Caenorhabditis elegans: one gene and its partners. The protein of the gene in region 1 interacts with the protein of each later gene in a pairwise test. Each region holds a gene or a part of one and is shown in the gene's direction. Other genes may lie near its edges. The genes, in order: attf-4, T27A8.2, rpy-1 and drap-1.

The links.
Region 2: the proteins of attf-4 (region 1) and T27A8.2 interact in a two-hybrid assay, tested with the Caenorhabditis elegans proteins (one large-scale study listed by BioGRID).
Region 3: the proteins of attf-4 (region 1) and rpy-1 interact in a two-hybrid assay, tested with the Caenorhabditis elegans proteins (one large-scale study listed by BioGRID).
Region 4: the proteins of attf-4 (region 1) and drap-1 interact in a two-hybrid assay, tested with the Caenorhabditis elegans proteins (one large-scale study listed by BioGRID).

Annotation. Positions count from the first base shown.
Region 1 is NC_003281.10:6,077,136-6,086,557, forward strand, and holds attf-4 (AT hook-containing protein attf-4), read left to right. Parts: upstream 1-3,427; 5' UTR 3,428-3,440; coding exon 3,441-3,539; intron 3,540-5,029; coding exon 5,030-5,134; intron 5,135-5,655; coding exon 5,656-6,088; intron 6,089-6,137; coding exon 6,138-6,347; intron 6,348-6,490; coding exon 6,491-7,075; intron 7,076-7,137; coding exon 7,138-7,295; 3' UTR 7,296-7,613; downstream 7,614-9,422. Other genes in the region: ABC transporter ATP-binding protein/permease wht-1, read right to left, coding at 7,623-7,739, 7,934-8,063, 8,106-8,259, 8,318-8,546, 8,591-8,722, 8,766-8,871, 9,067-9,203, 9,247-9,421.
Region 2 is NC_003284.9:16,055,329-16,062,177, reverse strand, and holds T27A8.2 (Fork-head domain-containing protein), read left to right. Parts: upstream 1-3,232; 5' UTR 3,233-3,243; coding exon 3,244-3,503; intron 3,504-4,130; coding exon 4,131-4,251; intron 4,252-4,302; coding exon 4,303-4,347; 3' UTR 4,348-4,502; downstream 4,503-6,849. Other genes in the region: T27A8.7 (uncharacterized protein), read right to left, coding at 5,896-5,928, 5,977-6,048, 6,475-6,558.
Region 3 is NC_003280.10:6,700,317-6,709,303, reverse strand, and holds rpy-1 (43 kDa receptor-associated protein of the synapse homolog), read left to right. Parts: upstream 1-3,660; 5' UTR 3,661-3,760; intron 3,761-3,806; 5' UTR 3,807-3,810; coding exon 3,811-3,900; intron 3,901-4,031; coding exon 4,032-4,108; intron 4,109-4,157; coding exon 4,158-4,423; intron 4,424-4,468; coding exon 4,469-4,616; intron 4,617-4,658; coding exon 4,659-4,821; intron 4,822-4,873; coding exon 4,874-4,990; intron 4,991-5,136; coding exon 5,137-5,202; intron 5,203-5,432; coding exon 5,433-5,561; intron 5,562-5,610; coding exon 5,611-5,810; intron 5,811-5,858; coding exon 5,859-5,989; intron 5,990-6,244; coding exon 6,245-6,600; intron 6,601-6,703; coding exon 6,704-6,808; 3' UTR 6,809-7,071; downstream 7,072-8,987. Other genes in the region: C18H9.6 (uncharacterized protein), read left to right, coding at 7,891-8,054, 8,104-8,181, 8,268-8,342, 8,396-8,603; C18H9.1 (uncharacterized protein), read right to left, coding at 8,822-8,960.
Region 4 is NC_003283.11:9,729,566-9,737,157, forward strand, and holds drap-1 (Transcription factor CBF/NF-Y/archaeal histone domain-containing protein), read left to right. Parts: upstream 1-2,393; 5' UTR 2,394-2,599; coding exon 2,600-2,672; intron 2,673-2,949; coding exon 2,950-3,191; intron 3,192-3,240; coding exon 3,241-3,864; intron 3,865-3,968; coding exon 3,969-4,025; 3' UTR 4,026-4,457; downstream 4,458-7,592. Other genes in the region: cal-7 (EF-hand domain-containing protein), read left to right, coding at 4,538-4,628, 4,672-4,739, 5,371-5,751.

The DNA of each region.
Region 1 (9,422 bases):
TCACCCATTCTCTGCCTGCATCATCATCATATTATTTAATATATACATTTATAATAAAATATAAATATATTTATGTGTGCTCTCTCTCTCCCTTCATTCCTCTCCCATTTCCCTCCTCCCTCCAGCTATATACAACCCTATGCTGCGTCTCTTCGTCCTGCCCACTGTCTCCCTATTTTTGTTGAAAATTTTTTTTCAACAAGCGAAATGTATAAATAATATCATATTTTTCCACTCGCCCGCACCCCGCCCCCTTCGACGCATTTTTCTCATTTTACGATTTTGAGAGAAAACATTTCTATTTATTTTCATTTTTTGTGGAAAATGTAATTGCTTTTTTTTCATTCTGTAAATTTGAGATTTAAAATTCAAAATATTTTTAATTTAATTATTTCTACTTCTTTTTCAAAAACTGTCAAGGCATTCATTTGGTAGGACGGCAAAAGGGGTGTAATTAGAAAATTGAATTTTTCAATTTCAAAAAAAAAACTTGGGAAAAAAATCTGCGGAAAGTGGTGGAGGGTAAAAACCTGTTTTTGATCTATTCAATTGATTCAATGCTGCAATACAATAATACACAATTTTTAACTGAAAATTGTAAATAAATGTGAATGAGGAGGTTGCGGGCGCACCGGCCTTGAGAGAGGTTATGGGAGTGAAGATGAAGAAAAGTTTTATTTGATTTTCAATGTTTTAATGTTTATTATAGACCTATTTTTTAGTTTTTTATAAAAATATCCTGATTAGACTCCTCCAATTTTCTTCATATCTTAATTTTTAAAAAGTTTCATTAAATAAAGAATCCCCGATTGCCAAAAGCCTCCTTCTGAAACTCCAAGTCTCTCCAATTCTGGCATTATTAATTTAAATGCATAAAATCAAAATTTCTGGAAAAATATATTAAAATTGGATGCACTTTTGTGCTCTTTTCCATTAATTTAACCCATTCTTTTATTTATTAGTTATCGCCTTCTGTCGTGTGTATGTGTGTGTCCAAAACCCTTGCCTCTCTTTCTCTTTCAACCCAAAATGCGTCCATAAAATGTTTGAATGAATTAATGAAATGGGGAGTCGTTTACTACGCTGCGTCTCCTTTAAATCACTTGATCTCTCATTTTCTCTTATATATTTCCAAATCATAAGAAATTTTGAAATATATAGAAATTGAATGACAGAGAGAGAGAGAGAGTAAGAGTAAGAGCAGATGTTTGGCAGTCAGACAACGGGGGGACCGAGGCCCACATTAAAATTGAATGAAAAATTTCGAAAAAGAAAATTTTTATTTTGCATTCACGAGTGGTAGGGGAAAAAGAGGAAACAGCGATTAAATATATAAACATTGAAAACTTTTGGGCGGGGTTTAGTGGAGCAAGTGGGAAAGCTTATGAAGATGTTTGAATTCAGAATGTGAATTTGAACGTTTGGCCTAGAAAAACCAAAACTTCGGCCAGCGATATTTTTTCTTATGTAGGCCAGGATCAGAGCATCCTTTTTTGCTACATGATATAAAAACCTAAACTTCGGGAACTAATTAATTTTTTTCAGCAAACCTTATCTACAGTTTTCTGGATGCAAGATCTTTATTTTTAAAAGAGCTGCCGAGTTCTAGTATTTCTAGACCACTACGTGTGGCAACATTCTTTCTCTTCCTATTTTTAGCTCTATATACCCCGGTTGACTTGATAGGCGAATTTAATTGAGAATTATAAATTTTCCATTTTCCAAAAAGTAAAATTCCAAATTCAAATGTTCTTTCTCCCACTCCAATATTGTAACATACAATAAAATTTAATCCTATCTCTCTTTCCTCTGTGCTTTCCATAACCTCTCTTCCATTTTGCCCGTTGGTGGCAGGCGATGGGCGGGTTTGACATCGTCCTTTAAGAATAATAAAATGTGTCATTTGGTGCCCTCTTTATCTCTATTTCTCTATTCCTCTCTAACTCTCGTTTACAAAACGCCACCTGCTCTCTCTTTCTCTTCATTTGACCCCTCTACTCCCAACACCCAAACAGACACCATCCTTTGTTCCGTTTTTTTTGGTTTTTTGATGGTGGACAGTGGTGATGGACATTTCGTTTTACTCCATGTTTTATTTTATTCTAATGTGCTATGTGTGCAACCAACATCTGCCTTCCACCGGTATAATGAGATTTTGACTAGGGAAGGGTCAACTCATGGTCACGTTGGCGACTCTTTTGGGACTTTTGAGTGAACATTTCTAAATTGTAGATTTTTCGCTATGGCCAGTTGTCAACCCTAAAAATTGGGATTTTCATGGTTTTTAAGGTACTGTTTTTTTCATGCAATATTTCAAATTCAATTATCTACAAACAAAAATATTTTCTGGAAAATATTCAACTGAAAAGCCAGCTGATATTTTCCAGCATTTTGTCAGTTGATAACTTTTTTCTAGCATCACAAAGTTATGATAATTTAAAGACTCTCCACACTTCCAACAGAGGTAGCAAAGAAACGAAAAGCTCTCGCTCAATAGGGTGCTGAGAAGCTAGACTCTGCACTCTCTTTGCAATTCCAGTTAGGAAATTTATAACTAACTAAAAATTGGCAAAAAATATTTTAATATTCTGAATTTATAACGAACTTTTGGCTTCTGGGGTAGTCACTTTGAAAGCTACATTTTGACGCGCCTTTTTTAAACGCCTTTTCGAAAATTTTATTTCAAAATTCGTTTAGTCTTCAGAATACAATATGATTCTGACATTTTTGGCAGAAAATTACATTTTTCACACTCCGTGGGAGGTCTATAAATTCGTTTTATGTTAATCGTGGCCAGTTAAAATTTTCAGCGCGTGCGCCTTGAAACTTTATTTTTCAAAAAAAAAACTTTTCCCCCCGATTACGCCTTCCCCAATTCTCGCCTATTTTGTTACACAAATTTAATTAAAATTTTTTCTAAAATTTTCATTATTTTCTCTTTCCCTCTCTCTTTTTCTGCAAAACCCACCTAGAAAACAATTTATGTGAAATTAAATTGTTATTTACTGCGCAACCGGAAAAATAAAATAAAATTTAAAAATTTGTAAAATGCGAAATCAGCAATTCAAGTATCTCTCTCCCTCTCTTTCTGGTGTCCTCGTCATCCACTACCAGCCACAAAAATAAAAAAAGAATTTCGCATTTTTTATGTGATTCAGAGAAGTGTCTCCCGTATTCGAGTACTATTTTCGAGTTTTGCAATACATCTTATCAAAAATATATGTTTTGGGGTGAAACGGGAAAATAGAAAGAGAGGGACAAGTGAGAGAGCAGAATTTAATATTTTTGATGACTTTTTCAAACAAATTTTTTTTGTTGAAAACTTTTTCCCTCACTTTTTCACATTTCTTATCATTCTTCTTCGCTTTCTCGAAATTTAATTTCATTTTTTAAACGCATTATCAATATGTTATACTTAATATTTCAGATCAACTCAGATGATGCTCCAACCGCCAACTTTAACGCCGAATGCGAATGGTGAAGAGTTCAGAGGATCCGTCAGTACAGATCGTAGTTCAGCTTCTCCTTCCAACATTGACGTGAGTTTGGATTTTCATCGTTTTGATGTGAAAAAAGAACACTATAAAAAATTACAAGACATATAAAAAAATTTTACTGTATGTCTTTTTTCAAACTTGTTCCCATGTCTTACATATTTAAAAACTATACATTAAGCTTGGAGAGAGGTTCAAAATTTTTGAATGTCTGAAAACCTACATGGGCGACCTCTAAAATTTCTAGACTTTAACAACAAAAAAATTGTGTTCTAAAAAAATTTCGCAGTTTCAAAGATGTAACGCAAATACATATATTACACATTTCTCAATCTTTTCTCTTGTTTTCGCACTCGTTTTGCCCGCCTCCCTCATTCATTTTCACAATTTCTCTCTCGTTTATTTTTTGCCTCAAACATCTCAAGATGATTTTTTATTTATTTCGAAGAAACTCGCAATTTCATTTTTTTCAACATTTTTGCCTCGCTCGTTAAATGTAAGAGAAATAGACATATTTTTCGATATGTATTGAAAAAATTGAGGTGAGAGTGAGAGCGATGAAAATGTGCTAATTCAGAAGGCAAACAACTTTTTTTTTCGATATAAAATTTATGAAACATTTTTTTTCGTTTTCCATATTTAGAAGTGCTTTTGGAAAAGGTTTAGTTTTGCCTTTATGCTCACTTTGAAATAAAATTTGCCGCTGTGGGACTCTGTGGGACTCGGAACCACACATATTTTGTTTTCCCGCTCTTTCTCTCCCTTTTTTCTGTTTAACAAAACCTTTTCAAAATAAAAAAAAGAGCACAATTTTCTTTTGGTTTTTTTTTGCGTTGTCCCCACAAGAATTTTATTATTTTATTATCTACACATTACACGATAGAAAATAAAACGTAGCGAAAATATTATCAGTTATCGGAATCGTTAAAATTATTGAAAAATTATAGATGAAAAAAATTCTTCTTCTTTTTCTTTGATAATGATAGGAATTAACAGAAAATTTCAATTTAATGATGATTGTTAGATGCTCGCGGAGCACACGACAATTCCGTAAAAGTGCGCGAACAAACAAACAGACTGTTTTTTTTGTTGAAAAAGCGAACTTTTCCTCCTCCCCTTCTTTCAATTTGTGCTCTCAAATCATTCATTTTTCCTACAAACATAAAAAACCCAATTTCTTTCGATTTTCCGTATTTTTTATGGCGCTCTTCTAAAACCGCACTATTTCTTTTCCATTTTTTTTCAATCAAATATTTATATATTTTTTTATTTATTTTGAGAAGGAAAACGGACAGGGGGGAAGGCGAGGTGGTGGTTGAGCCAGCAGCCCGCTCCCTCTCCTGTCACAGCAGCACCCAGCCACCACATACATACAACCCTCAATTTGAGTGAATTTGTGACCAATTTTCTAAATTTATTTGGTATTTGTTAGGTTGCTGCACGAATTGCTCGAATATAAATATATCTGATACATGAGTTTTTGCAATTCTTATTGATCAAGCTTAAGCTCTTCTCTAATTCTGAAATATTTGTAGGAGATCATGGAAGACGATGTGAATCAGAAGGACGAGGATGAAGATCTGAACTTAGTGGATCGTGTCAGCAAGCTCGAGACAAATTTTGTATTCATTCAGCATCAGGTGAGTGAAAAACTATTAATAAATTATTTTATTTTCTAAATCGAGAATGAAAGAAGTAGAAAAATATATTTGCACAACAATTTCGACAAGTGCAATGTGTAATGCAACAAGTCATAGGTGTCTAGTATTTATTTTGAAAATTTCCAAAAAAAAACTCGACTAGACACAACAATAGGCTTACCGTCCGTCACACATACTATTTTTTTCGATTTTTCACCCGTGGAATTCATTTTCATTTTCATTCACAAAGTTTACATTTGACCATCTCTCTTTCCCTCTGTCGCCCTGTCTCGGGGCTCACGCATCGTATACATACCGGACAGAGGAAGCAGATTGAAGAAGAAGAAGTGAAGACAGCGATCGTCAAATAGTGTGTTTTGTGGGAGGAAATAGTAGAATGATCCAAAAATAAATTAAATGTCAACATTTATTGACGCGGAAAAATGGAAAAAAAATATAATTTTATCGTGGTGTTATGAAATTTAAAATATACATGGACCCATTGAACTGTATGTTTCCAGCTATCCTCTATCATGAACCATCTTCATGCTCCACAATGCAAGTGTACAACATGCTCCAAAGTCAACCAACCTGGAGCTGAAGAGCAGAAGAATGATACATCAGTGCTCTCGCAGCTATTCCCTAATGCTTCTGATCAGCAACTCAAGACTCTCCTCGATCTCTCGAAAATGAACAAGTTGCCATCACAAGTTGTTCACAAGGATCAACAGAACGGATCATCTTTTCTACCATCAGCAAATAAGACCTCTGAAAATCCAAAACCTATTGAACTGAAGCCTCTGAAGCTTGGACAAGGCTATCAGATGGCGAATGGTGGAGGTGGAGGCAAGATTCATACCGAAAGACTCTCAGAACCAGCGAGAAAGCAGAGCCGGAAAGTTGGATTCCCACCACCAGTTGCTTCATATTATCAGAGAAAGGAGAGCTCGAATCGTAAGTTCACTATACAACCACAGCGCAATCTAGAAACTCTAATTTTCAGCTTTGGTCCCGCCAACTCCATTGTCGTCCATCCCAAATCTGATTACAAATTCCAATGCAGTATCAGCCAACACTTCAACAGCTTCACCAGGACCCTCCTCGGAAGGAAGTGGTGATGATCATCTTGAGGCTCCAAATGAGGTGGCTCACATGCATTCTAGTACCGTACCAGCTACACCAACAACTCCAGGAGCCAACTTGTTCACTCAATGTAAGTAGATCCGCATGTTTTTTCTTAAATTTTTGCCAATTTCAATTATGCTAAAGGGAAGGAAATCTAACTTTAAGTAATTAGAGCAGTACTTGAATTATATTTTTTATCAATGCAAAACAAATTAATTTTTAATTTTTCAGCTATGGTCGATATGCTCAAACTGAATGCACAAAACGCTGCTCACTCGACAGGTTCTCCTGGATTCTTACGTGGACGTGGTCGCGGACGTCCAAAGCTTATCGGAGATGAACTTGATGCTGATCTCGTTGACTACATGGTTTCCCTGAAGAACTCAGATCCACATGGTGGCCACTTCACCGCATCTCAGGCCCTGCATATGGCTCGTCAATACATACTCGAAAGAGCTCCAGGCCTTCTCGAAGAGCATGGAGGTCATGTAAAGCTGAAGCTCACCTGGGCGATGAAGTTGGTGTCGAGAATTGGGGAACGACAGCGGGAAATCGAGCTAGGACTTCCAGCCGGAACACTGTCGAATATGGGACGAAACTTGACAAATATACCGGCTGGTGGCAATTTTATGGCTGATATGATGGCTCAGAACATCTTTTCGCAGCATATGATGATGGTGAATCAACAATTGGAAGGTGGATCTCCACCAGCATCTTCTTCATCAACTGCCACGACATCGACAGCCACGAAGACAGTGAAGCAAGAGTCGAAAAATGGACATCAGAATGAGGAAAATTTAAATGTGAAACAAGAAGGTGAGTTGTCACGGGTTCTAGTCCAACTTCACTTGAACCTTCTCTAAAATTATAATTTTCAGCCTCCACGATGCCCGAAATAATAAATATCAAAGAGCTCAATCTTCCATTCCTCAACAACTTCCTTGCCGAACTAAACGACAACAACTCGGGACTGATTGACGGTGAAATTGGTGCAGCAGGTCCATCCATGGCTGCTCTTTTTGCTCCGAACGCATAATTTTTAAAAACATTTTTTTGTTTTATTTTCTTGTTGTAACATTTTACTACTGAACCTCCATTCATCTCAAAACAGACCACCCGATTTTATGGGTATTTTTCGATATATTCTTATTGTCAATTACTTCTACTTTTTCCCTGTCATCACCTCTTCCTATATGTATCATTTTCTACACATAGGCATCACTTTCAACATGTTTTATACTTGCTTTTTTTTTTGATTTTCCAATTTTCCAATTTTCCGGCATCAACATTCACAAAACAAAATATGTTAACAAAATTCAAATTAACAGTATTCAAATAAATTATACAATCAAATATTTCCTTTTCAAGTATTATTATAGGAACGGATGAGAAGTGCCACGTAGGCAATTATGCGAATTCCGATGAACATTCCAAACAGAATTGAAATATCAAAAATTTTATGCGAAGCCGAGAAATCGATCTGTAATTTTAAACCATAAAAGCTTGAACAATGAAAGTTCCACCTCGTTGTGAAAAACTTCTTTTGAGCATTATTCGATGTTCAGAAAATAAACACCAAAAAGTCTACGATTTAGTTTGGTTAAGTAATCCAACACTGAGAAACAGATTTTTTAAATGTTCCTAAATTAATTTCTAATAATCCAAAACACTAACCGATTCCAAAACTTGATGCCCATTTTTTGGGCAGCTATCCAACGCAAACGCAGTCATTGAACTATTGAAACACTCCGGAATCACTTTGATCGAATCCCATTCATTGATCGCGAGAGCTTCATAACCGTATCTAAAAGATTTGTTATTATATAACACAAATCATCATGTTTACTTGAAATAAGAGAGCGAAGAGAGCCATTTAAAGTAAGATGGAATGGCGTCAAATGTTATGAAGAATCCTCCAAACGCCATAATTGGAACTACAAAGATTGGAAGTATTGTCATGGCTACATCAGTGTTGGCAAAGATCGTTGCGACAGCGTAAGCTGAAAAGAAAAGAATGAAGCAGCTGTCATCTCACAGGTCAAACTGAGCACAGCTTACAAATGGAAATTGCCACGTTTGTAATCAAAATTGTTACCAGCGACGCGAAGCAATAGTTCCAGAAGTTAGGATAGAGCCCAGACATCCAGTAGACAATTGTATTGTATAGAATTGGAAGGATTATGTATTGAGGGAGTTCTGCAATGTTTTTCGCAAGAAAATATGCACTCGTTCGATACACTCCATTTGCATTTTCTCGGAGTACAATTGGAAGTTCTGCCGTAATAACCTGAAGATTAATTCAAATTCTGAAATTAATTGGCTGCCTGGTACCGGAACATTTGGGAATTGAAGCATAAAGTTCATATTTCGAATGTGGTTGAACATTATTCCATTTATCGATATTATCGTAGCAGGTGTGACTGGAGTTTGGAAGAATACTATACCAGTTATAAATGCAGTTATCTATACAACAATATAAATAGTAATAAAGCAGTGACACACTTACAAGAATTTGAAGTAACCTGACAGAAAGCAGATTTGGATCCCGGATTACTGTCAGCCAAGATCTCCAAAAAAGAGCAAGAAATTGTGTCCAAAATGATGCATTGTAGCTGAAATTAAAAATTTCCGAAGTAATACTATTGAAGTAATACTATTGTTAAAGCATTTCTCCTATCTGTGATGTTTAAGCACCAAACAATGGAGTTCAAATCAAGATTCAAAAATGTGATAGGCAGGCAGGTAGGTGTAAATGATAGGCAGGCAGGTAGGTGTAATACTTTTGATGTCAAATTTTTCCAACTCACTCTTGATTAAAAAACGTTTTTGTTTTCTCAGATGTATCACTTCCTGTTACAAATGACGCTGCTCGAAGTTTGTTCGCATTTCCAATTGCTAACACCGACTGGCCCAAGTCCGTAGACAAAAATCCTTGGCGAATTTTCTTAAAACAATTTTATTGAGTTGTATATCTTTTTGATTCTCACCGAAATAGTTTTCATGGAAGTTGCTCGATCACTATCAATTACGGCCAGAGTCCTTATCAGATGATCCGCAGGATTATAGTATGCCGGGCATGGATATCCACATTTTTCAAATAACGGCACCGCTTGATCACCTGGCCCCAAGTATATGACACGCCCACAAGCCATGAGACAGACAC
Region 2 (6,849 bases), on another chromosome or scaffold:
TAAAAAGTTAAAAACATATTAAATATTGCTCACAGAAAAAATTGAACTTGAATTTGAAGGAAATTGAAGAATTGATGTGTGCTGATGAATTTTTCCGTGGAATTCATACAGTAATATAAAAAATATAATTTTCATAACATCGAATTTAGAATTTTCTTCAGTTTAAAATTTGAACAGTTGAAATAGTGAAAAAGCGAAATAATATAAACATTTGAAAATAGTTCGTGATAAAATTGAATACCAATTCCATTTCAGGGATGAGCTCATTTTCGTCGAAAGTCCAGAAGGCTCGGCTGATTTGGAAAACATGGGGGATTTGACGGAGAAGGCTGGCGGCGAGGGAACGTCTGGAGCCCCAGCTTCATCATGAGCTGTTTTTGTTGATTAATTAATATTGCAACTAATTATTGGTTTGTTACTTTTCTTATTAATTTCTTTTATTACTGCTTTTTTTGTTTGTTGTTCAGATGAAGTTATTTTTGTTACGAATTCTGCTACAATCAACCAAAATTATTTGTTCTGGGGCTTTCATGAGCCAAAAATGCTTCATGTCTTTCCGGCCGCTACATTTGGACCCATTTCTACCGTACTCATGCCCGTTCGCAACGCACGCGTGAAGCATGCTTCCTTTCGCAATGCACGCGTGAAGCATGCTTGCTTTCGCTACGCGCGCCTGACGCATGCGTGACGCGCGTCTTCGCTTGGTCCTCTCAGACGCGTGAGCGAAGCGTGTGAGACGCGCCACGCATGAGCCGCGAATCACCTGTGAGGGTTCAATCCCCTCACCGAACCAAGGTGGTTCTGAGTTGCTCACATGCTCAGATAAGTGGAAGTTCGGAAGATTGATGATCAAAAAGGTGGTGTTGAATCTTATTGTTTCATTCAACATTGACAAAAGATCGAAAAATGTTTTTTTCATTTTCATAGAATTGTCTTCAACTAGGCTTATACTCTTTTCACTCTCTTTTTCTGCTTTAGTTTCCCACAGCGTTTGTCAGAAATAACAAAGTTTGTATGATTTTTTTCCAATTTTTCCGGAAGAAATTTATGTTGGTAGGAATGTTTTGAACTGAAGACAAAAACTCCTGTAGCGCGACCAAAAACGAATTTCTTGACCCAGAAACGTACCCATAATACTAAAAAAAAATTAGCAACCATTTTTAAAAAAATTCTCCCAAAATTCCGAAATTTTTATTTTTGTTTTTTTTGTGCCTGTATATACCTGTTGAAATTGGAATTCAAGCCAAAAACCCCTGTAGCGCGACCAAAAACGAATTTCTTGACCCAGAAACGTACCCATAATACTAAAAAAAAATTAGCAAACCATTCTCATAGAAACTCTCCAAAAATTTCAAAATTTTTTTTTTGCAAAAAAGTGCAGTCATATGTATGTAAAAAAATGAATTGAAGACAAAAACCCCTGTAGCGCGACCAAAAACGAATTTCTTGACCCAGAAACGAACCCATAATACTAAAAAAAAAATTAGCAATCCATTTTCATAGAAATTCTCCCAAAATTCCGAAATTTTTATTTTTGTTTTTTGTGCCTGTAAATACCTGTTGAAATTGGAATACAAGACAAAAACCCCTGTAGCGCGAACAAAAACGAATTTCTTGACCCAGAAACGTACCCATAATACTTTTAAAAAAATTAGCAATCCATTTTCATAGAAATTCTCCCAAAATTCCAAAATTTTTATTTTTGTTTTTTTGTGCCTGTTGAAATTGTTGATATTGAGGAAACCTGTTGAAATTGGAATTCAAGACAAAAACCCCTATAGCGCGACCAAAAACGAATTTCTTGACCCAGAAACGTAATACTAAAAAAAATTAGCAATCCATTTTCATAGAAATTCTCCTAAAATTCCAAAATTTTTTTTTTGCAAAAAAGTGCAATCATATGTATGTAAAAAAATGAATTGAAGACAAAAACCCCTCTAGCGCGGCTAGAATATAACTTGTAGGTCCAGAAACTTATCCATAATCTTTTAAAAAATTTAGAATCCAAATCTATGGAAACCCTACCAAAATTCCAAAATTTTTGTGAAAAAACTTCTGTCGAATACCATAGGAATTCTTCTAAACTTTGAAAATTTTCATTTTTGTTTTTTGCGCCTATATTTGGATTACCGGGGGGAGTCCCATAGTTATTGGCGGGACATTCAAATTTTCTAAGAAAAAATTTAGGCGAGAAACTCAAATTTCCTGAGAAAAAAAAACATTTTGGCAGGAAATTCAAAGATTCATAGTCCGGAACTAGATTTGCTTTCTTTCCTTGTTAGTAGTGCGGCATTTCTTTTTGCTGCAAGATATGCCGTTGTTGTTCTGCTTATTTCTGGAAAAAATTTCATTTTAATATTTTTGTGAAAATTTTCTGTTTTTCCATGTTTTTCTATGAATAACTTTTATGGAAATTTTTATGAATTGTTTAGCTTTAACAATCCTTCTAACAGTTAGGAAATGACTAAATATTATAATGGATCTTTTAAAAATTTGTGGAATTTTTTTTTATTTCGGGTCTGATCGTGCGCCAATTTTGGAGAAACCAAAACACTGTTGCTTGTTTGAATCCCAACAATATTAAAATAGGATTACTGGAAACGTGAGTCAAATTTAAAACTGAAGGTAACTTTTTTTTTGAATATTTTTATTATGATATTTGGACATTTTTAAATTTTAATGTGAACGAGTTTTAATCTTTTCCCACAGGCCGTTGTCCATCTTCAATTAAAGTTTTTTTTCATCTTTACAATCATCAATTTTATAAAACCTTCAACTATGCTCAGATATAGCCGACTCAAACTTTTCATAATTTCGAAATTCAATTTTTTTTCAATTTTTTTGTTTCCTTTTGATTTGGTCATTACGAGTTCGTTGTCGTGTCAAGATTTGACCTACGACAAGTTGGTGTTGCCTGCAATGCGTGAGTCGCGCGACAGGTCTGCCCTCGTCTTCCGCACACTATTATCGATCGATGGTTTATGGCCGTTTGCTGACATTTGAATGTGCCATTCTCTCATATCCACAGCTATACTTTTTTGTGGTTTTTTTTTTGTTATTTTTCATGTAATTTTCGCCTAACTGAATCTGACGTCTGCACGATTTAAATTTTTTCCCACTCGGCAAGTTGCCGCAATATAAGATCCAAAAAAACAAGACATTTCTGTATTTCCTTTATTATGTACGTGGCAAATAAATTTGAGAACCTTCAACTAACTAAGTAAATTTTCATTTTCAGCTACCATGACGTATTTCACTCACGAAATGAACCAAATTATGGGGCTTCATCATCCGGAAATGGCGATGCCCAAGTTCAAAATGGTCGCCCTGGTCAGTGCTGCGATGGAAGAAGCGGATGACGTGTTTCCGGAGATTGAAGTAGTTGTCAAGTGGATCACCGACTTGTTCCCGTATTACAAAGTGTTTCACGATATGTACAAATGGGAGTTTGTTAATCATGTGGCCTGGGTTCTGGACACCGAACTGTGCTTTCGTCGAGAAAGGTGAGTTTTGTGAAGTTTGTAGAAATATTTTTAACAAAAATTTGAAACATTTCAAATTCTTTTTCAAATATTATCGGAAACTGAATTTTGTTGTCAGATTTGCGTGTAGCGTTTAAAAATTGGTTTTCATATAATTTTCAACAAATTCAAGTAAATCCAGAATGTAATTACAACAAAAAATAAAAATAAAGTTCTGCTAAAAAATATCAGATAACAAGTTATATAGCCAAATCATACAATTGCTGTTCATATAATTTAGACATAAGAACCAGAACTGTGCGGCAACCGGCAACCAAGTTGCCGGTTGCCAAAAATTTGCCGAAATTTCGGCAACCAAAATTTGCCGGTTGCCAAAATTTTTTGGGTTTGGCAACTTCGGCAATTGCCGGTTGCCGCACAGCCCTGATAAGAACCCCACAATTTCTCCAAAAATTTCACCAAAATTTCTTTTTATCAGTTTTTTGGAAAAACAAAAATATGTGAATACTCATAAAAACTGTATTTTTTTGGTTTATAAATTTTGCTAAATTTAATCACTAGCACTTACTTAAGAATAACTCCAAAAAAAACTTAAGAAATAACTCCAAAAACTATTCGTATATGTTTTTTTATACTTTCAATTTGCAGAGACGTGAGATCTGGACTATGGGCTTATGAAGACGGCAACAAGGATATTCTGGATGTTGAGGAGGAGTTTCGAAAGGATATAGACGAGTTGAAGCAATATGTGGAGCATCAGGTGGAAATGGTATGTTGCCATGGAAATTTCAGTCATATTATATTAAAAATTGTTTTGCAGACGGATCTTGCTGGACGGATGTATTCGATGTCCTCAACCGGGTGATCTCTTGACAAGTTTTTCATAAAAATATTTCATTTATACATTAATTCAACTTATTCACTTTTTAGATTTTATTGAACCAATTCTGTATATAAAAAAGTTTCCAGTTCAAAACATTCCTACCAACATAAATTTCTTCCGGAAAAATTGGAAAAAAATCATACAAACTTTGTTATTTCTGACAAACGCTGTGGGAAACTAAAGCAGAAAAAGAGAGTGAAAAGAGTATAAGCCTAGTTGAAGACAATTCTATGAAAATGAAAAAAACATTTTTCGATCTTTTGTCAATGTTGAATGAAACAATAAGATTCAACACCACCTTTTTGATCATCAATCTTCCGAACTTCCACTTATCTGAGCATGTGAGCAACTCAGAACCACCTTGGTTCGGTGAGGGGATTGAACCCTCGACTGTTGACTCCACGGTCGAGTGCTTTACCACACTTGACCATGTTGCCAGCTCAGGATGAGTCACTGATTGCGTTGAGTTGGCGCCATGAAAACGTGGCGCGGTGGCGTAGAATGGCGCAATTTGTGCTGAAAAATGAACACTAAATGTGGGTAAAGTATATATTTCTAATATCAGAATTTTGCACTGATTTCAATGGGCAGCTTCAAATTGTTCAATTTTCAATCTAGCAGAAATTGGGACTTTTGCCAAAAAAAAAAATAAATCGTCAAATTCTATTTGTAAACCACGTTAAACATTATTAACTGTGAAAATGGTAAATGGTCCCATATCAGGGTGTCCCACAAGAAGATGATCTATAACGAAGTATCATAATATATCAATAAATCCAATTGACAACAGGTACTTTTGGTACACCCCTTTTGGTTGAGAAAAGATGGGGCGCAAAAAATAAAGTCATCGAATAAAAAAGTGAGACTGGCACCATTTATAAAAGTGCCGTAGCACGGCGGACAATTTGCAAAATAATTTCCAACAGCTGCAACACAGACAAATTAATATGACTTGAGGTTTTAGCAAAACTCTGTTTTTTTTTCGATACTGAGCTGTCATCAAAACTGAATTGCATTGTTTCAGATATCTATTTCAAAAGTTATTTGAGATAAGTTCAAGTCCGAGTCGGATTTAAGTTTGAAACCACTAGCTAGTCCACCTTCAAACTTTAATTTAGATCAAAAATCTTTTAAAAACAATTTTTGTGGCCACTCGCGCAGGTAGCCATCCTCCCTGCTGCTAAATTCGCTTTTAGGCGGTCACAGATATGGGAAGGGGCATCTGACTTTTAAATATAAAGTGCCATGACTCGTTTTTTTTTTTCAAATTTGCCGCAGGGAGTTGCACATTCTGTGGATAATCAATATGGTCGCTGTGGGGGGTTGTCCATATGGCCAGGGGTAAAAATCGGATAAGATGGTGCTCGTTTTTACCCGTTAAAATTTAGAAAAAAAGCAATATTTTGAAATGCTAAATTGTGTTTATTAAAACCGGTTAAACAAGACAAGGAGTGTAGCAAAAAGATAGTCTGTGAAAGCTAGCGAAACAATATAAAGCAATGTGTGTGTGTGTGTGTGTGTGAAGCCAAATCATTTTTTCCCGCCGAACAAATTTGACGTGTTCTGAAATCAAACTGGATTGCATGTAATGTAAATTTACACAAGTCATACCATCGATGAAAAGTTTTCAAACTTTTTAATGATTTCGGAAACAGATGAACAGGATGTATACGTATTCTCAACCTGAAAGTTGATTCAATTTGGGTAAGCTATAAATTATTTTTTGAATTTAGTGGGCATTATAGTTACAGACCAGGGGTGTGCGGCAAATCTCAAAATTTGCCGAGCTCGGTAAATTCGGCAAATCTCTTTTTCCAATATTTGCCGAGCTCGGCAAACGGCAAATTCGGCTATAAAAAATGTAGAAAAAAAATTTTGGTCGACTTCCGTTAGTGGCAAAAACTGAGTAATTGTCACTTTTAGACTGTAAATAAAAAATTTTCAAAAAAAAAATTGAAAAGTTTTATTATGATATTCGGTCATGTTGGGACCATAATAGTGGTTATTAACAATTTTCCCACTGGCGCTACTCCACTTTTAAACTAGAAATTTCCTTACATAATCGCAACTTGAAAATTTTGAAAGCTCATAGAACACCTATAATATTACCTTATTGTCACTCACAACACTTATCAATCCATTTGAAACTGATGTGTCCTCCTTCTTTTTGCGCTCCATTATGATCCAAACCATATTTTTCGGCTCTGGTGGCTCAGGTCCATAGATAAGCGGACCTGGCATAATCTCGTTATGAAATAGATCTCTCAGAAAAAAAATACGGGAAACGGCAATATGAAAGGAATATAAAAGGTGGAAGGTGATACATAACCATTTGTATGCAAATTTTCACAGAGCTCGGTTTTGTATAGGACAATAAAGTAAAAAAGAAACACGGTTTCGAATTCTTTTCAGTTGATAAAATGTGATAGGGGATTGGGGGTGGACAAGAGAAGACAGACAAGTTTGAAAAAAGAATCTAGAGGT
Region 3 (8,987 bases), on another chromosome or scaffold:
TCTTCTTTTTTTCCGCTTCATATCGATCTCTAACTTCTTATCGTCTCTCTACTCTCTTTTCCTATACATTTTTTCCCTCTCTTTCTTCTGTCATCTACACACTCCTTTTTCTCTTTTCTTCTTTTTGTGCCATGGCTCACGGAGCCAAAGATGTGTGTGAGAGAAAAGAGAATAAAGTATGTGGATGGAGGTCCGAGTGTATGTGCTCTCTCTGGGAGCCCCCCGAAGAGCAGACACGATTCTCCACTACACACCCCAGTTTTCCAACCACCCCCACCAAGAACATTTTTTGTCATGGTCTCTTCTCCCTTTTTCTGTTTTTTTTCATTCCCTTCCGGTTACTTTTTTTCCGAAAATATAGGAAAGAACGCTTATTTTTTCCAATTAATTTTTCTCAAGAAGCTGCGTTTGTTGGATTTTCAAGCTCTAGCGGTTTTAATTTTTCATTAATTGCACCGAATTTTGTTATTTGAAAAACTATTTTTTTTGTTTAATATTGGACTAAAAAAGATTTTTGAATAAAAAACTATTGAAATTTAGTTTTAATCAATTGCATTTAAAAGTATCTTTAAAGTTTCGTACTCAAAATTTCCAAATTTTCTAATTCAAATTGTTCCACTGCCGATAAATTTGTAGGATCTTATTTGAAAGGCCCTTTTCAAATGGCGTAGGTTACAGAAAAATTTAGAAGTGAGCTGAAATTTTTTCTTTGTCCAAATACTTTATTGCTATATAATAGTATAATAGATAGTCAATTATTTTGAAACAGCAAACTTGCAGCCTGCACAACTTGCAGACTTTCGATTTACAGAAATTAGCCAGGCGCCCGTGGAATTCCTATTGGAAAGATAGTAATTTTTAGGCCCAAATTTTTTTACCTTTGCAATGATTTTTCAAGTCTAATTTATTCAATAAGGAATATATGAATACGAAACTGTCACCATTGAAGATCCTTTTTGCCCAACTAGCCCTTTAACGGTTCCCAAGTTCTGTAGTTTGCTCCAAATGTTCTCAATCTATCAAAAGTGCAACCTTTATCCAATTGACGAGTGTGAGTTGCTTAGTCTTCACTGACTGGAACTTTGGTGCATCCCTCAAAACAATATTACACCATTTTGCAAAAAGAACCCATTTTCTTTTTCGTTTTGAAAACCCCAAAAATCTTCGAAAATGTTGCCATCTCGTTGTATTTCTTTTTAGTTTTGAACCGTCTGTCAATCATTTCTTATCTCTGTGTCCCTTCACTTTCTATGATCTTTCCTTAATCCATGGTGGTATTTTGTTCGTCCTTTTTACTTTTCCGAAAACTCGCGTCGAATACTTTCGAGTCTTTGCAAAACCCGAAACGTTTTCCTGAAAACTAGATATTTAAAGATTCAATGAGGCGAATAATTAAAGAATGTGAGAATATTCTGCAAAAGAGAAATATAGAGAGTGAGAATGAGAGAGAAAAAGAGCAAAAAATTACTCTCTTCTTATTTTCCGCACCGTCGTCATTTCACGGACGCGGAGAAGAAGAAAGAATTTTTTGACGGATGACATTTGGCGCCCCGGTTCTACTCCACTCCTCCTCTCAATTCATCTCTTCTCAGCTCCCGGAGCCCGCCAATTAATCACTGGAGCACCCGAGTTGAAGAGAGTACGAGAGACGAAGAGACGCAGATACGGCGGTAGTGTTGATGAAACTCTTTTATTGTTCTTCTTTTTTCTCTTCTTTCGCTTCTGTGAATGTGTGGTGAGGGCCGTAAAGATTTTTCTTTAGTTTTGCAGTTTTCAGTGTGTATAATTTTGTAGTTATGGACAAGATGAATGACTTGATGCATTACCAAAAGTTTTGCAATTAGGAAAAAAAGCTATTTCAAAATTGTGTTTTTTTTTAGAAAATTATTAATAACTCTCAATTTCAAATAGTTTTTTTTCTATTTCACGACATTCAATTTATAATTGAAGTTCAAATGTAGAGTTATTTTTTTGTAAATTAATCATGTTAGTGAAACATATTTTTTTCCAACTTACAATAAACCATGGCTCACTGTTCTTGTTGATCGAAATTTTTTTTTTCATTTTTAAAATTACGTCGATATGAAAATGTAGTGCTGAAAACATCAAGACTTATTTTGAAAATATATTTGGATTTCTAAAAATATTGTTTATTTAAAATACTTCAAGTGGGGCATCCAGAGGTGGAACTTTATTCCCTTAACATTTTATTGTCGAAACTGAAATTTTCCTGATTTATTTTTTCTAAATAATCCTTTTTCATCTTCATCCTTAAAAATATTTCTAATCTAATCGGTTCTTCTCATCGTTTTCTTCCACACAATTCAATGTGTCCCAACTCTTTACCCATCTCTTCACAAAAATGTCAATTTCTGTTCAATTTCCCATGGGAGTTCGATTTTCCGTTTCCCATCCTTTTCCAAACTCGGAGAGCTTGGGGCAACTCAAGAAAAAAAACATTTGGAATACGGATTCCTTAAGATGTGCATCAAAGTACTAGACCTCCTCTTCTTCTAGATCTACTTTCTTTTTCCCCGTATTCACTTCTTTTGTCCCAAATTTCTTTTCATTCCAAATTGGATTCAGTTCCCCTGAGAAGCTCGCCTGAGCCGGCGGGTCACATTAGAGAGTACTACTCTTCTTTTTTCCCGAAAATTTCAATTTGACAGAGTGATTTCAAATAGGGACTAGTACCGAAAAAACATTTTGGGCGGAGTTGTAAACGGTGAAAAAAGTTTAAAAGTTTGAATTTATCTTGAGTTCGGACTTCCTTTCGTTCTAAAAGTATATTGCACAAACACAGGTTTTTTTCGAACTCCAAAACTTGACTTCTAGTTGAAGTATATGTTTAGTTAGTTTTCTAATAAATATAGTTCATTCTAGGACTATTCCCATATTTCCTACCTGCCATTTTTCTTGCCTACAGCAATTTTTCAGTGTCGCTGGGAACTCTTGTATATGATATACATTTCTCCCATTTTAACTTTTTGTTGAAAGTTTCTTCTATGTCATGCCAGTAAACATGCGTGTAGGCAGATAGTTTATTTTGTGCAGTTTGCACTTTTGCGCTTGCTCTGATGTTTTTCTCTCAAATTGATTTTTATTCTATCCAATTGGCATTTTCATTTCTTATCTGTTTCCCATTATCTTCCACAAATTTCCCTCTCTTTTTTCGCCTCATTTTCCGTTTCCAATCCCATCATTTTTCGTTCATTTGCTCCCCACCAATTTTTCCTCAATCGTCTCATGACCTCAAATTGATGGATCACTTTCTCACCTATATCTCTAAATCTCCATGTCTATTCATACTATCTCATCTTCATCTCGAATATCAATCAAAAGTCATCCAAGAATTCTCGTCTCATGAAAATGTCAACACAAACAAAATGTGCTTGAGCTAATTGTTTTTTGTGGGGTGGAACTTTTTGTGCAAGAGCCTGAAATAGCTAAAGCATATAAAATCTACAGTAATCCCTTCATAATTGATCCTCTGGTACTCCATCATTATTGCATGCAGACTCAGAAATGGATTCTAAAACAATTATTCATCAATTGTCCTCTTCTTTTCTTTCTTTTATTTTTCACCATGCACATTTTTCTCTTTCTGCATCGAAAGATTTATAAAATAAAAACTTCAATAAAAATTTTCCTAATTTTCAGATGAGATAGGATTGATAATTTTTATTCGTATTTCACACACACGTAGAAAAAAGAAGAGCCATCACTAAAAACTACATGATTACTTGCCGCCGGTCTGTAGGTAAGATATATTGAGCATGAAGTTTGAATTATTGAATATTATTCAGGTCAATGGGTGTTTTTGTGTGTCGCGACAACATCAATCTCATCACGAATCATCGACGATCAATGGGACAGCGGCAAGCAAAGCAACACATGCAGGTTGGTAATAGTTTTGATATGGGGAATTTTTTTTTCGGAAACTAAAATTTATGCGAACTTCTGTGATGTTTTTTAAAATGTTTTATCATTCCTGTTTGGCATTCCCCAATTTTAAACATTTATTTCTGCAGGCTGGCGTCAAACTTTATCATCAACGACATTACGCACAGGCTATCAATAAATGGAGACAGTCTCTGAACAGGTTAAAGTAAGTCTTTCAGACGACTCCTCTTCTTTTCTATAACGTCCATTTTCAGCAATGCAGAAGACCGGTTTATCACTCTCGGATACCTTGCTCAAGCTCTTTGCGACCAGGGAGAATACGAAGGAATGCTTTCATATGCTCTATCACAAATGCAGTTGGCAACCGATCAAAACGATTCAGCAATGAAATGCGAGGCATTTTTGAATCTAGCAAAAGCCTATGAACGATTAGCAGATTTCACGAAAGCCCTCCAGTATGGCAAAGCATCGTTAGAACATCCTTCGATGGATCCCAGGACGCCTGGTTATGCACATTTAAGTAAGAATTTTCAATAGGTTCTAGACAAAACTGTGGCTATTTCAGCAATAGCACTTGCACACTTAGGAATGTCCCAGTTCCAACAGTGTCTGGAAAGTTTCGAGTCAGCAATGAATGTTGCCAATGAGACATCGGATAGGTTACTCGAATTGCAAATTTGTGTTGGTCTAGGATCTCTTTTTACTCTTTTGAGGTAACCGTACAGAAATGAAAAATAACACATTTTTATTTTCAGAGATATCACTAAAGCTCTGATATTTCTTCGAAATGCTCTCGCAATTGTTCAATCTGTTACTGTTGATGATGTTCATGCAAAGTATCGTTGTTTGATACTTTATCATTTATCAGTTGCTCTAAGGATGAAAGGAAGTCTGGTTGATGCCAAGGAAGCATGCGATGTAAGTTTTTATTTAAAGTTTAAGAACTTCAAAAAGTATTGAATGATTCCAGGAAGCTTCCCAGCTAGCTGTTGAGATGGGTAATCGAGCGATCCATGCAAGATGTATGTGCAGTTTAGCAGATATTTATAGAGAATTGGGAGAGAGTGAAGCCAAAGAGACTATCACTGTGAGTAATTTTAAATTCTCAGTTATTTCAGTAAAAAAACGTTATGCTTGAAAAGTTAATAATAACAACTAACTTTCATTAAAACTTGTATTAGAAATCAATGAGTTTTTTTTTTCTATTGTTAGATAATAAACTCTTTCTTACAGAAATCCTGGGCAAGATACGAAGATGCTTATCGTGTAATGCGCGGAGCAAATGATAAAATGGGCGAAGTAAGTGGCCAAAAAACCTTCAATTATTTATTGGTACAACCAAATACCTCATAAAACCAAAAGCTCACATCCAGGTCTCAATTTCTTTTCCCATTAAATAACTTTTACGACTTTCCCATAAATCTTGAAGCTTTGTGGTTGACACAATCTCACATAGAGATCAGACAACATGAGTATATTTCTGGGGAATTGTGAGAAAATAATTTTAATAAGTTCTGAGTGTTTTTCAGGTATTAGTGCTCTCGTCAATGGCAAAAAGTGCATCTGAAAGTCGATCTCATTACACTGGACAATGTGAATGTCAAGCTATTCAATTGAATAAAAAGTGTATTGAAATTGCAAATCAGATAGGGTGCAAGGTACAAAATCGATAGGATGATTCCACAAAACTTCAAAATTTTGTTTCAGCACGTTGTCTTAAAGTGCCATCTCCGACTAGCCGAACTATATTCTCAACTGAATGATGACGATTCTGAGGAAACTGCTCGAAGAGCTGCGTCTCGGTTAACACAAGAAATGCAATTGTTTTGTAACTTCTGCGGTCAAAGATATGGATTGAAGGATGAGAGTCTTCAAGCTCTTAGGTGTTCGCATATTTTCCATGAAAAGTATGAATGAGTTTCAGAGATTCTAAAAATAAAGTTGTAATGTTTCAGATGCTTACACACGTATCTCCTACAAAGAACAGATCAAACCTGCCCGAAATGTAGATGCAGAGCTGTTTTATCGGACAATATCTCGATACGAAGTTCTATTGCTTCAACAATTGATGTTCAGAGTCCTAGCAGTAAGATTTTTATTATAAACATTTATACTTGAAAATTTATTCGAAAAAATATTAAACTATGAAGCCGAAATTTGAAGTCAACTTTTGTAGAGTATTCAGCAAAAAACATGGTAAAGAAGTTGTCCAAGTTTTAGTTCAAAGCGAACTTTTTCTTCTGAAAACTATTCTAATAGTATTTTTAAAGGTTTATTTTTTATCATTATTGAAAAAATATTTTTTGAATGTCAGCGCGTAATCAATAAACTTTAATTTCAGCGTCTTTCGCCCCACCGGGAGGTGTTGCCACTCCACTTGTCTCAGCAGCTGCCGAACTTGGAGATATCACACCACAAGCCACATTAACACGACGTTCACAACAGGACAAGATTCTTCGTGGCGCCGAGAAAGATATTGATCGAGTTGATCGAAGTCTTGCTAGGCTAAAATCACAACAATCTGCAGCGGCGAATGCATGTTCAGCAGTTGCAGTTCCGTCACCTGAAGTACCTTCAACAACGGCTTCTTGTGCTTCCGAACCGATTCTTACTGCATCGACGACATCGCAGTCACACACGCATTCGAATGCAAATCATAAACCACCACCACCTCCACGGAAACCTTGTTGCTCACAGGTAATATTATTGAAGGAGTTTAAATGATCTTTCTGAACTTTAAATTTTTTCATATGACCTTAAATTGTATTTTGAGAAATCACCTAAATTTGAATGTTTTCAGGCAGCCCTACCTCCATCATCAATAGTAGCTCTTCCTCCAGCAATGCCACTAGCAGAAGATGGTCCTCTTGTGATAACTCACACGCCTACAGTAACAGATGTTTGAAGCCTCAATACAAACTGCAATCATCCCCTCGAAATCCCTTGTTTTGTGATATCATTTATCGTTTTTTTTTAAATAGGAATCTTCAAAATTTTGAATTTCTAGTCTTCTACATTGTCACCCACCAGTTTCTTTCCTGCTCATGTTCACTTTTCAATCTTTTTTTTCAATTAATCTTTTAGAAGTTATTCTTATTTTTATTTTTGATCTCAATTCATATGTTTCAAAGTTTTAATTCTTTCCATAAAAATTTGTTTCAATTTTTGAATATGATGAAATCTTGTGCATGATAACACCCACAAGCTGAAACTTTGTGTGATAGTTGTCCATCTCATTGAGAAAAATTCTGAAAATAGATGAACCCACATGATTTTATTCTCTAAAACTTCAACATTTAACAGAAAAAAATTCAAAATCGGGGGAATTTTTAAACGGTGAAAGCAATTTTGAATTGAAAACTGTGTACGGGCTTAGGAGAACTTAAACATAGATAACCGCTGTATTTTTTAACTCCATCTTCCAATATTTGAATTCAAAACTTAACTAGCATAAAAATTTTAAAGATGACCTCTGTAAACTGTAATAATTAAAAGTTGGGCAGCAATCTTTGTATGATCTAAATCAAAATGTTATCTATATTTCAAAGAACTGTAAAGTGATAAGTTTCCAAAAAATCTTATAGTTTTTTAAGTGATTATGATTATTGTAGTCATCATAATTTCTTTAAACACTACAGACGCCTTTCAGAATAATGTCATCATTTTACCTCTTAAAATTTTAAACTTTGTCCGACAGTCTCTCAACTTCCGTCTCTAATCAAAAAAATCATTTCCTGACTTGAAAACTATAAAACCCAACGCATGAATGCACTGAGACCATTCAACTGATAACCATTATTTCCTGGCTACACAAACCTATTACTTCATACATATTCCAAAACCACCCAAGCCAGCTTGCCAAAATAGCGCGAAATTTTGAATTTTCAGATTTCCACTATATTTCCAGATATTTAATCAATCAATTTTTAAGTGAACTTCCCACCATGCACCAAAAAATTCAATGGAAAAATCGCGTTGGCTTACGAAATGACAAAGCTTCCACAAACACAGGGAGTTCTTAATTTCATTCAGAAATATCTTTACAATTCTACAAACTACAATTTTGAAGATGGGAGCACTCAAGCTATTAATGTACCATATCCAGATTCAGGTGTCTATGAAAATTACATACTTCATTATCCAGATGCTACGTGAGTTCTTATCTTGAATTTTGGTCCTAATTATTTTTTTTAATTTCAGGAGCACTGAACTTTTGGACATAAATATTGATCAATTATACAGTGAAGTTATGGTTCTGACTGACCCAAAGATTGAGAGGTACTCAATTTATTTTTATGTTTAACAGCCGGTTTTTGCAATTTAGAAGCTTGAAATGTAGACTTCTTCATTATCAAAATTTTCAGAGCATATGAATATATTCTTGAGGAACGCGATCCAGGAACTTCATCCACTAATATCCTGGTCACCGTCGGCGTTGAGTGAGTTACAATTATAACAACTATTTACATATTCCAAAGTTTTACCTTTTTAGTGATATAGCTGCATTTGATGGAAGTGCATCCAGTTATATGCATCAACTTCAACAAAAATACAATTTCCGTTCGATCGTGGTCTCGATTGGACCAAATCCAAATTACCTGGAAGTTTTGGCTGAGAGCCCAGATTGGTATTTCACTGCAACTGATTCTAACGGAAAATGGGTTGCTGAACAGATTTCAAGAATTATTTGTCATTTGTAAGCATAATTCTGAAATAACTAAAATAAATAATGTTTTATTCCAATTTTGGTTTAAATATTCATATGTGTTTGCGAGGTACAAAATACTTTTTATGAATTTAACGTTTATTTAAATTGAAACATAAACGTCGTTGAAAAGGCGGAATCGGAGACACCCTCGTTGAGTTACACGTATTAGGAAAATGTGAAAAATATACAGCTATCAAAAAATTAATAAAATTAGAATGATGTGGCACACGGTCCCGCATAATAGTCACATTCATGTTCTGGATATCTTCGGAAATTTTGTGGAGTTCTGTGATTGGATCTTCCAGTGTTCAAACCTCGTTCAATGTATTCGGCAAGATCATACGGTGTTCTGAAATATAAATTTAGGCAACATTGG
Region 4 (7,592 bases), on another chromosome or scaffold:
TTATGAATTCAATCAGTTCTTGATGAAATAATTATGTGACAAGGAAAGAAAACCAATAATCTTAACAAAATAAATTATATTTAGTGGTTGGGGAAAGAGATGTACATAGAAAGTAATTATTTAGCAAATTTACCCAAACAATTTCTAAAATCCGCGTAAAAATGTTTTGAATCGCCTCGAGACTCAAAAATGGGAGGATTGCTTGTTCCTTTGAATTACGGTAGTTTTTCGTAAAACTTTTAATTATTTTCCTTTTCTCTATTTTCGAATGCCAAAGTTTTTGATTTTCTTTTTTAGGTAAAAATAATACTCAATTAAAAATAAATCGAGAAAAAAAAACCGATAACAGCGTTACATCGAATGGTGACGTTGACAAAGTGCCTGCTGTGTACATTGGTTTGAATGAGCGTCTATAGAGCGTGCTTGCATAGTTTTCGAGTTTTTGAAATGCGGGACGTTTAAATCAGAATTATTTTGTTTTTTCTCTTGTCTACTTTCATTTATTCTACAATTCTCTTAATTTATAAAAATTTAGTAATATTTCAGATACTTCGACGACGTGAAAGCCATTTGAGACTTCAGCAGCAGCCAATTGTCACTGGTGAGTTCTTTTATTGGTTAAAATTTAATATTGAAAATCGATAAACTAAAAAACTCTGCATAATTAAATAGTAAATTCGTGTTCAATTTCGTTCTTTCCGAAAAACAATGTTGAATTCAATCGTCGACTGAATTTCTGATTTTTTTTTCTGAAAAGATATCACATTTTCTATTAATTCTAAGTAGTCTGAACCAGCTGGGCGACAATTCCAATTTCGCTATTTTGACAGTTAAACAATTGCGGAAAATACTGAGTTATCGAAAGTTCATCAATTCATCAATTTCCAAAAATGCCGATTGCTGGGAAATTGAAAATTCTCTAAAAATGTTCATATCCAAGAAGAAAATCTGAAAATCTGTAAATTTTTATAAGTTAATATACAAAGAAAAATTAGATAAATCTTTTGCCACAAAAACTTCACTGCTGTACGAATTAAATTTTCTTTCATTTGTAGATTTTTTTCAAAATATTTTAAATGTGCACAAGACATTTGGCCAAATTTTTAACTTGATCAATGTCGATCAATATATTTGCCGAAAATGTTCTTTTGCCGCCCATCCTGGTCTGAACTTAAAAATGTTTGCGCAAATTTGCCTCTAAGTTTTTTTTCTAGTAAATTGGAGAATAAAAATTCGCAAAAAGATCTCAATCACCTCATAGGCAACAATTGCAAAAATATCCGTTCAATAATTCTTTATGCAAATACTGAACAGTTAAGATAATTTCATCATTTCAATATCTCGACTTTGCTTCACAAAAGAACAATCAATAATTCGACGGCAAGCTGACAAATCAGCCATCTATCCATCTGTCCGTCTGTCCACACAAAAACATACAAATCGAGTATGCGGAGGAGGAGTCTATGTTCTTTCCCTCAACTCTCTGCTTCTCTCATCTTCTCTTCCCTCTCATCTCGGCCCGTACAGCTGCATCAAAGACTCTCAAACATCGGCGCGGCGCGGGCGCACGCTAAATAAAAGGGGGAAAAGGTAGTGAAACGACACGTGGAGACGCAGAACAAGCAGCGGGTACCGTAGTCGCGCAGACCTGCGAATCACCGATTTGTCCGCTGTATATAAAGGAGGGAAGAACGCGAGGTCTGCGTGTGATCGGCCAGCGCCTTTCTGCTCCTATTCTCCGTTTTTCCCCCTTCTATCTCCTCTTTATACACTATTTCCCTTAGATTCTCTCGTCTCCTCACCGAAGCGCTCAATCACTCGTCTTTACGCGCTCTCCTCCAGTCCTGGCCAGTAGATGTGTAAGTGTGTGTGTGTGCGTTGACATCGAATCGAATCGACACGACGCAGAATGGAATAAATGGCGTTATCATTAAAGAATGAAATAACCAAAATGAAAGCGAGAAATAGAAAAAAGGAAGATACCATCACGCCTCTTTTTTGTTATCAATTGTTGTACTGATGTGATGATCTATATTGTTATAGTGATCGATGAGACCCGAACGGCTGTGTACATACAGAACATATAGAACATAACACACTTGTTGCGAAACGGAGTTGCTCTAACGGGAAATGAAATATAACAAAATCTAATTATCTGAATCCCTTTGTTACTGAGCACAGAATATTTTAATAATTCCAATCAATATCAAATAGTGACCATTAATTTTAGAAAAAAAAGTTTGCGTTGATTATTCATGGGCTCTAAATGTCTTTTCCAAAGTTGTTAAGAGAGCTTCTATGAATGAAACATCATGTCCTTCTTTCATGGTTCAATAATCTCTCATTTCATCGCTTTACCTCAAGAGTATTATACAGTAGCTTCCAACTTTCAGTTAGTCTCAGGCCCATCATCGATGACGTCTTCGGAATAGTTCTATATCTCTCGAAAACCACCCGTTGTTCGTTCTTTCTCTCTCTCATTTTGTGCCTCCAAATCTCCACAACATCGTCTTCTCTCGTCAGCAACGTTTCCGTCGGAGACACTGACACTTTTGGAAGGAAACCAGAGAATACATATTTCGAGAGAGGAGAAAACAAGATGGATCAGAATAGAGGAAGCGATGTTGGCTTTGCGGTGCCGATGTTACCCGTCAATTATGCATCGGCTACTCGTTAGTTTTGACCTTATCTTTTAGGGTGGATGGAACAAAAAAGAAACTCGATTATAGATAATCGGAAAACGTACATTCATAAAATCTTAAAATGAAAGCTTATTTATTTTCAAAAACCCTTAATTTGTTTTGGGTAAAACCGTCAGTATCCGGCATCATTTCTGGATCATGAACTATCTAGAAACTTCAAAAAATATGCGACTTAAAACAATTTGTAGATGTAATATCTAAGAATTAACAGATTAGGATCAAATCGTTATTTAAATTTATTTTTCAGAAAAAATGTCAACGTTGGCATCCACTTCATCAGCCGGTGCTTCATCATCAACAGGTAGCAGCAACCAACAGCAGCAACAGGCAGCTGCTGTGATCCGAAGACGTCGTTTCAGCACTGCAAAAATTCAGCCAACACGCATAAAGAAGGTTATGCAAAGTGATGAGGATATCGGAAGAATGGTTCAGTCAGTTCCTGTCAGCATCGGAAGAGCAATGGAGCATTTTGCGGAGAAGTTTTTACAGGTGAGAAGACTCAGTCATAGTTATTTTGAACCTTGAATATATATTTGAGGCTGCCGCAGAAGCTACTCAATTCACATCTTCAAAGACGCTAAACCCTCAACACATGAAGCAGGCGGTTCTCAACACTCCACACTTTTCATTTCTAGAATCAGTCTTCAAAGATGTTGCACTTCCACAGCAAGCATCTGAATTGAATACTGCACGTACCGGCATGACATTGAGAGGACAGCAAATGCTCCAAGAGCAACAAAATTCAGATTTTGCTAGTGCAATTCTTGCCAATGCGCAGATGCAAATGATGCAAATGGATCAACAAGCATTGAAACAAGAAGATGGAACTATTTCTCCTTATTTAGTTGATCCGCAATCCCCAGCAGCACCACTTCCACTTTATCTTCAAGGGATTCCATCCAATTATCCAGTAGTTCAAGAACTCACAGCCACCGTACCACTTTCTCCTAGCACTCCGACAACTCAACTCGTAAATGGTATGCTAGGAATGCTCAAATACTCGAAAAAAGATTCTGAAGGACAACGTCTCACAGGATTAAAACGAGCATCTACTGATGGTGATGGAGAAGACAGACCAAAGCGAGGACGCCCAAAGAAGTTAAAACCTGAAAAATGTATTGATGATGATCTCTACGAGGAAGCTTCTAGGAATATAGCCAAGGTAATATTTGAAAAGTTTAGACATAGAATCAAAATGTTCTAAAGATGTAATTTGATTTACGGTTCTGTGATCCTTTTGATCTAAAGCAAAATTATCATTTTCAGGAAGACAAGGATCGCGAGTTGATGCCTCCTCCAGCACTGCCTATTGGCCGTCCGTGATCCTCACTTCTCTATGAGAAATTTTATTCTTCTCCTAATCGTGTACTTTTCAATGGTCTCGTTGCCCTCCATTTCTGATCTAAATTTCTCCTTTTCTATTGCTCCAAGTTAAGAAAAAAAAAACAAATCCTCACCGGGTCTACCCTATTCTCTATTTCTCTTGTTTTATTCATTTTTTGTCGTTCACTGGCAAATCAAAATTTAATCACTTCGATGTTCTCCCAATATGAACCATTACCGACCCACACCTTCATAAATCAGGATGCTCGTCGCTTTTCATTAAACCTTCCAAATGTTCTCTGTCATATGTTTAACTTGTTTTGCTCTTTGTCTCTCTAATTCAATTTTTCTCTTCATTTTTATATTTGTCATGCTTTAGAATTCAATTTCCGTTTTTGTAGTATTTAATATAAAAATTATTCAACCAGAAAACGTATATTTCCGACAGAAAAGACCACTAAACTCGCGCAACAACTAGAGCGATCTACATTATATTAGTATTCAGCTAAATTATGGATCTGAGCGAAGATGAAGATTTATTAAACATTGAAGAAGAAGGGGAAAATGAGAGCCAAAAAGAAGAAGTAGATTCTGTAATTGTTGGTTTGTAATATTTTGTCCAATTTAAACAAAAAAGGAAGTTCAGAAGATATTCGACGTCGTCTTTTCGATGTATTCAAGATGTTTGACGAGGATTCTGATGGTTTGATTGAAGTGAGGATTACTGTAGTTACTGTTGAAACTTGGCTTTTCACGTGGTGCTTTTCTCCAACTTTCTACTCATTTATATCATTAAGAACCGGATCAAATAGACATTCCACCTAGTGTAGGCGTCACGGGGAGCCTATTCCCGCCTTCCCACTCGCCTTCCTCGCGCCCTTCAGTAGGGTGAGTGAAGAGGCGAACACGCCTCGAGTGCATGAAGTTATTTTTCATACTTCATAAACTCTTAAATGTTTCTCCTGGCTCTTCCAATTAGTAGGAGCGTCGTCAATATAAAAGTTGTACCTATAGCTGAAAATTTCTTATTGATATTCGTTGAAAACTCAATTTGCATCTCTATAGGTTTTCTTTGTTTTCGATATTCTAGTATTGTTTTGGTTATTTTTATTGTAACAGTTTAGAGATTCAAACCCGCGCCAATGCATGAAATATCTCAAAAAGTTCACATTTTTTGAAAAATTTGGTAAAAACTGACTCAAATTTTTCAAAAGTCGAAATACTTTTTGGAGAGTTTTATTATGATATTCGGCTATTATGGACCTCCACTGAATCTTTTAAATCCACTGAATCTTTAAAATGTCTCCACTGAATCTTTTAAATCTTTCTTAAACTGAAATTCCAGACCGACGATGTGAGTCACGTTCTCCGAAGCTTTGGATTGAACCCCAGTCAAACGGAATTGCAATTGGTCAGTGAACAAACTGCAAAGAAAAATGGAAGAGTTTCATTCGATGACCTTCTGCCCCGTGTCGTATTGGCAATTCAAAATGAAGAATGGAAAGATGATACTCCGAAACAAATCCATGCTGCATTTCAAGTAATAACATCTAATAATTATGTTCAAAAAGATACATTATTGCAATTGCTCACTTCAATTGGAGAACCATTGACTCCACAAGAAGTTAAGCAATTTCTGAATCATGTCAGCATTCGAGCAAATGGAGATATTGACTGGGTTTCGTATGTTAAAGACACTTGCGAAATGATTACTTCTAGAGATTAAATCTTTAATTTTAGTTGTAAGGATTATCACTTTTTTTTTTGGAAAATTTCTATAAATCTTCATAAACGTGGATGCCTTCAACCATCCCAACTTTGTTGGAAACTAAAGCCAAGAGAGCAAATTTTCCAGAAAATTAAGATATGTACGTTTCAAATCTTGCGTACCGTCTGAATTTAGTTGCAAACCCTTTGGACATGGCCTTGTTCTCAGAAAAATAACATTTTCACAGACCCACTTACACTTCTAGTTATAACCTTGTGACACACTTTCTTTTGGATCACTGGTAATCGTAACTTTATGATGAGTTGAACAACTTTCCATATCAAAACTAGACATGAATAAAAGTGATTCAACGATGTACCTTAGGGCGTTGACGATCAAATTATCATTACCTACGGATAATCAGTATCTATTATAATACGAATATGTCTTTTCGGTGATGGAAATGTCTGAAAATCGTTTAATATGTTGCAGACGGATAATTTTAAACAATACAAGAAGCTAACTCGTCAATGTTTTAAATACATCGTGAGCCCGTTGTCCCCAGAATTTCAGGCCGTGCGTGACTGCAAAGTTTTCAAAACCACAATTGCACATATCAGCCCTCCTTTTTGTTGGGCCTCTAAAGAGCATGACAACTTTATTTGTTAAGCAAAAAATTACCAATTAGTTTGTGTTCTACAGGGGAGCAACACAAAGGTTTTTTGGCACTAAAGATCCTTCAAGGTTATAATTGCCACGTTTTCAGAAAGACTAACAGCAAATTGAAACACGGACTACTCGTGTGTTATTTATCAGATCAACTGCAATCATTGCATAGTTCAAAAATCTCTACATATAAACCACTTTTCTAATTAGAAAAAAAATCGGTGCAATCTCTCAAAACTGGACACGGACTGTTTTTATTTAAATACATTTTATGCCAAGAAATATAAATAAAATAATATAAATTACTTTTCCTAAATGTTCCTCAATTTATATATTCTTAGTCGTTTTGGTCTAAACTCTCTGGTCATTTAGAGCAACTTAAAATAAAATATCTACACATATTACAGTCGATCTTGGTGCAAATAGGGAGAAAATCCAATTCATATTTAGACCCATTCATCAATATTTCAGTCTGTTCGGTTATCAGTTGATGCACAGCGTTCTATAAATAATCCGTGATAAGCCTCTAGCTCATTGTCACATTAAAAAACGGCGTCGAAATTTGAAGAATTCGATGATAACTCCATTTGACGGGAAATAGTGTGTAGTATGGTTAAAAGTTCAAGTTTTGTACGGGTATGATGACAATATATTTTTCTTTGAAAGGTTATAGTAAAATCATCGAAAATTCAATTCTTTGGAGGTCAGTATTGTTGACGATGACTTGAAATAGGAATTAAAGTAACAAACTAGAAATAATAAAGCTATCGAAAAATTAGTCAAAATGGTCAAAATGAGTTGACCAGCAAATTTGGAGCATAGAAAAAAGCAAATCAATTAAATAACTGAAACTAAAAAAGTGTAGCTTTTCTGCAATATTAAAAAAATATTATGCAGGCTGGTCGCAAAAAAACTGTTAAAAAAATGTAAGGAAGATATTTTTCTAACTTTGGATTTTAAATTGGTGTCATCTTTTCATCCTACATATTTACCATGTTAAAAAAACAAGTTCCAAGTTAGTTTCAGTAAAAAAAACATCAACGTATTCCAAAAAAAATTGTTGTACACAATGTATTAGCTGAATTTCAAAATGTTTAAATCTTTGTCTTTAATACCAAATCATTATGATTTTAAATACTTCCCCGCACGTTTTGTCTGTCATTTATGTCGTTCAATTGTTTCTCATTGTCGTT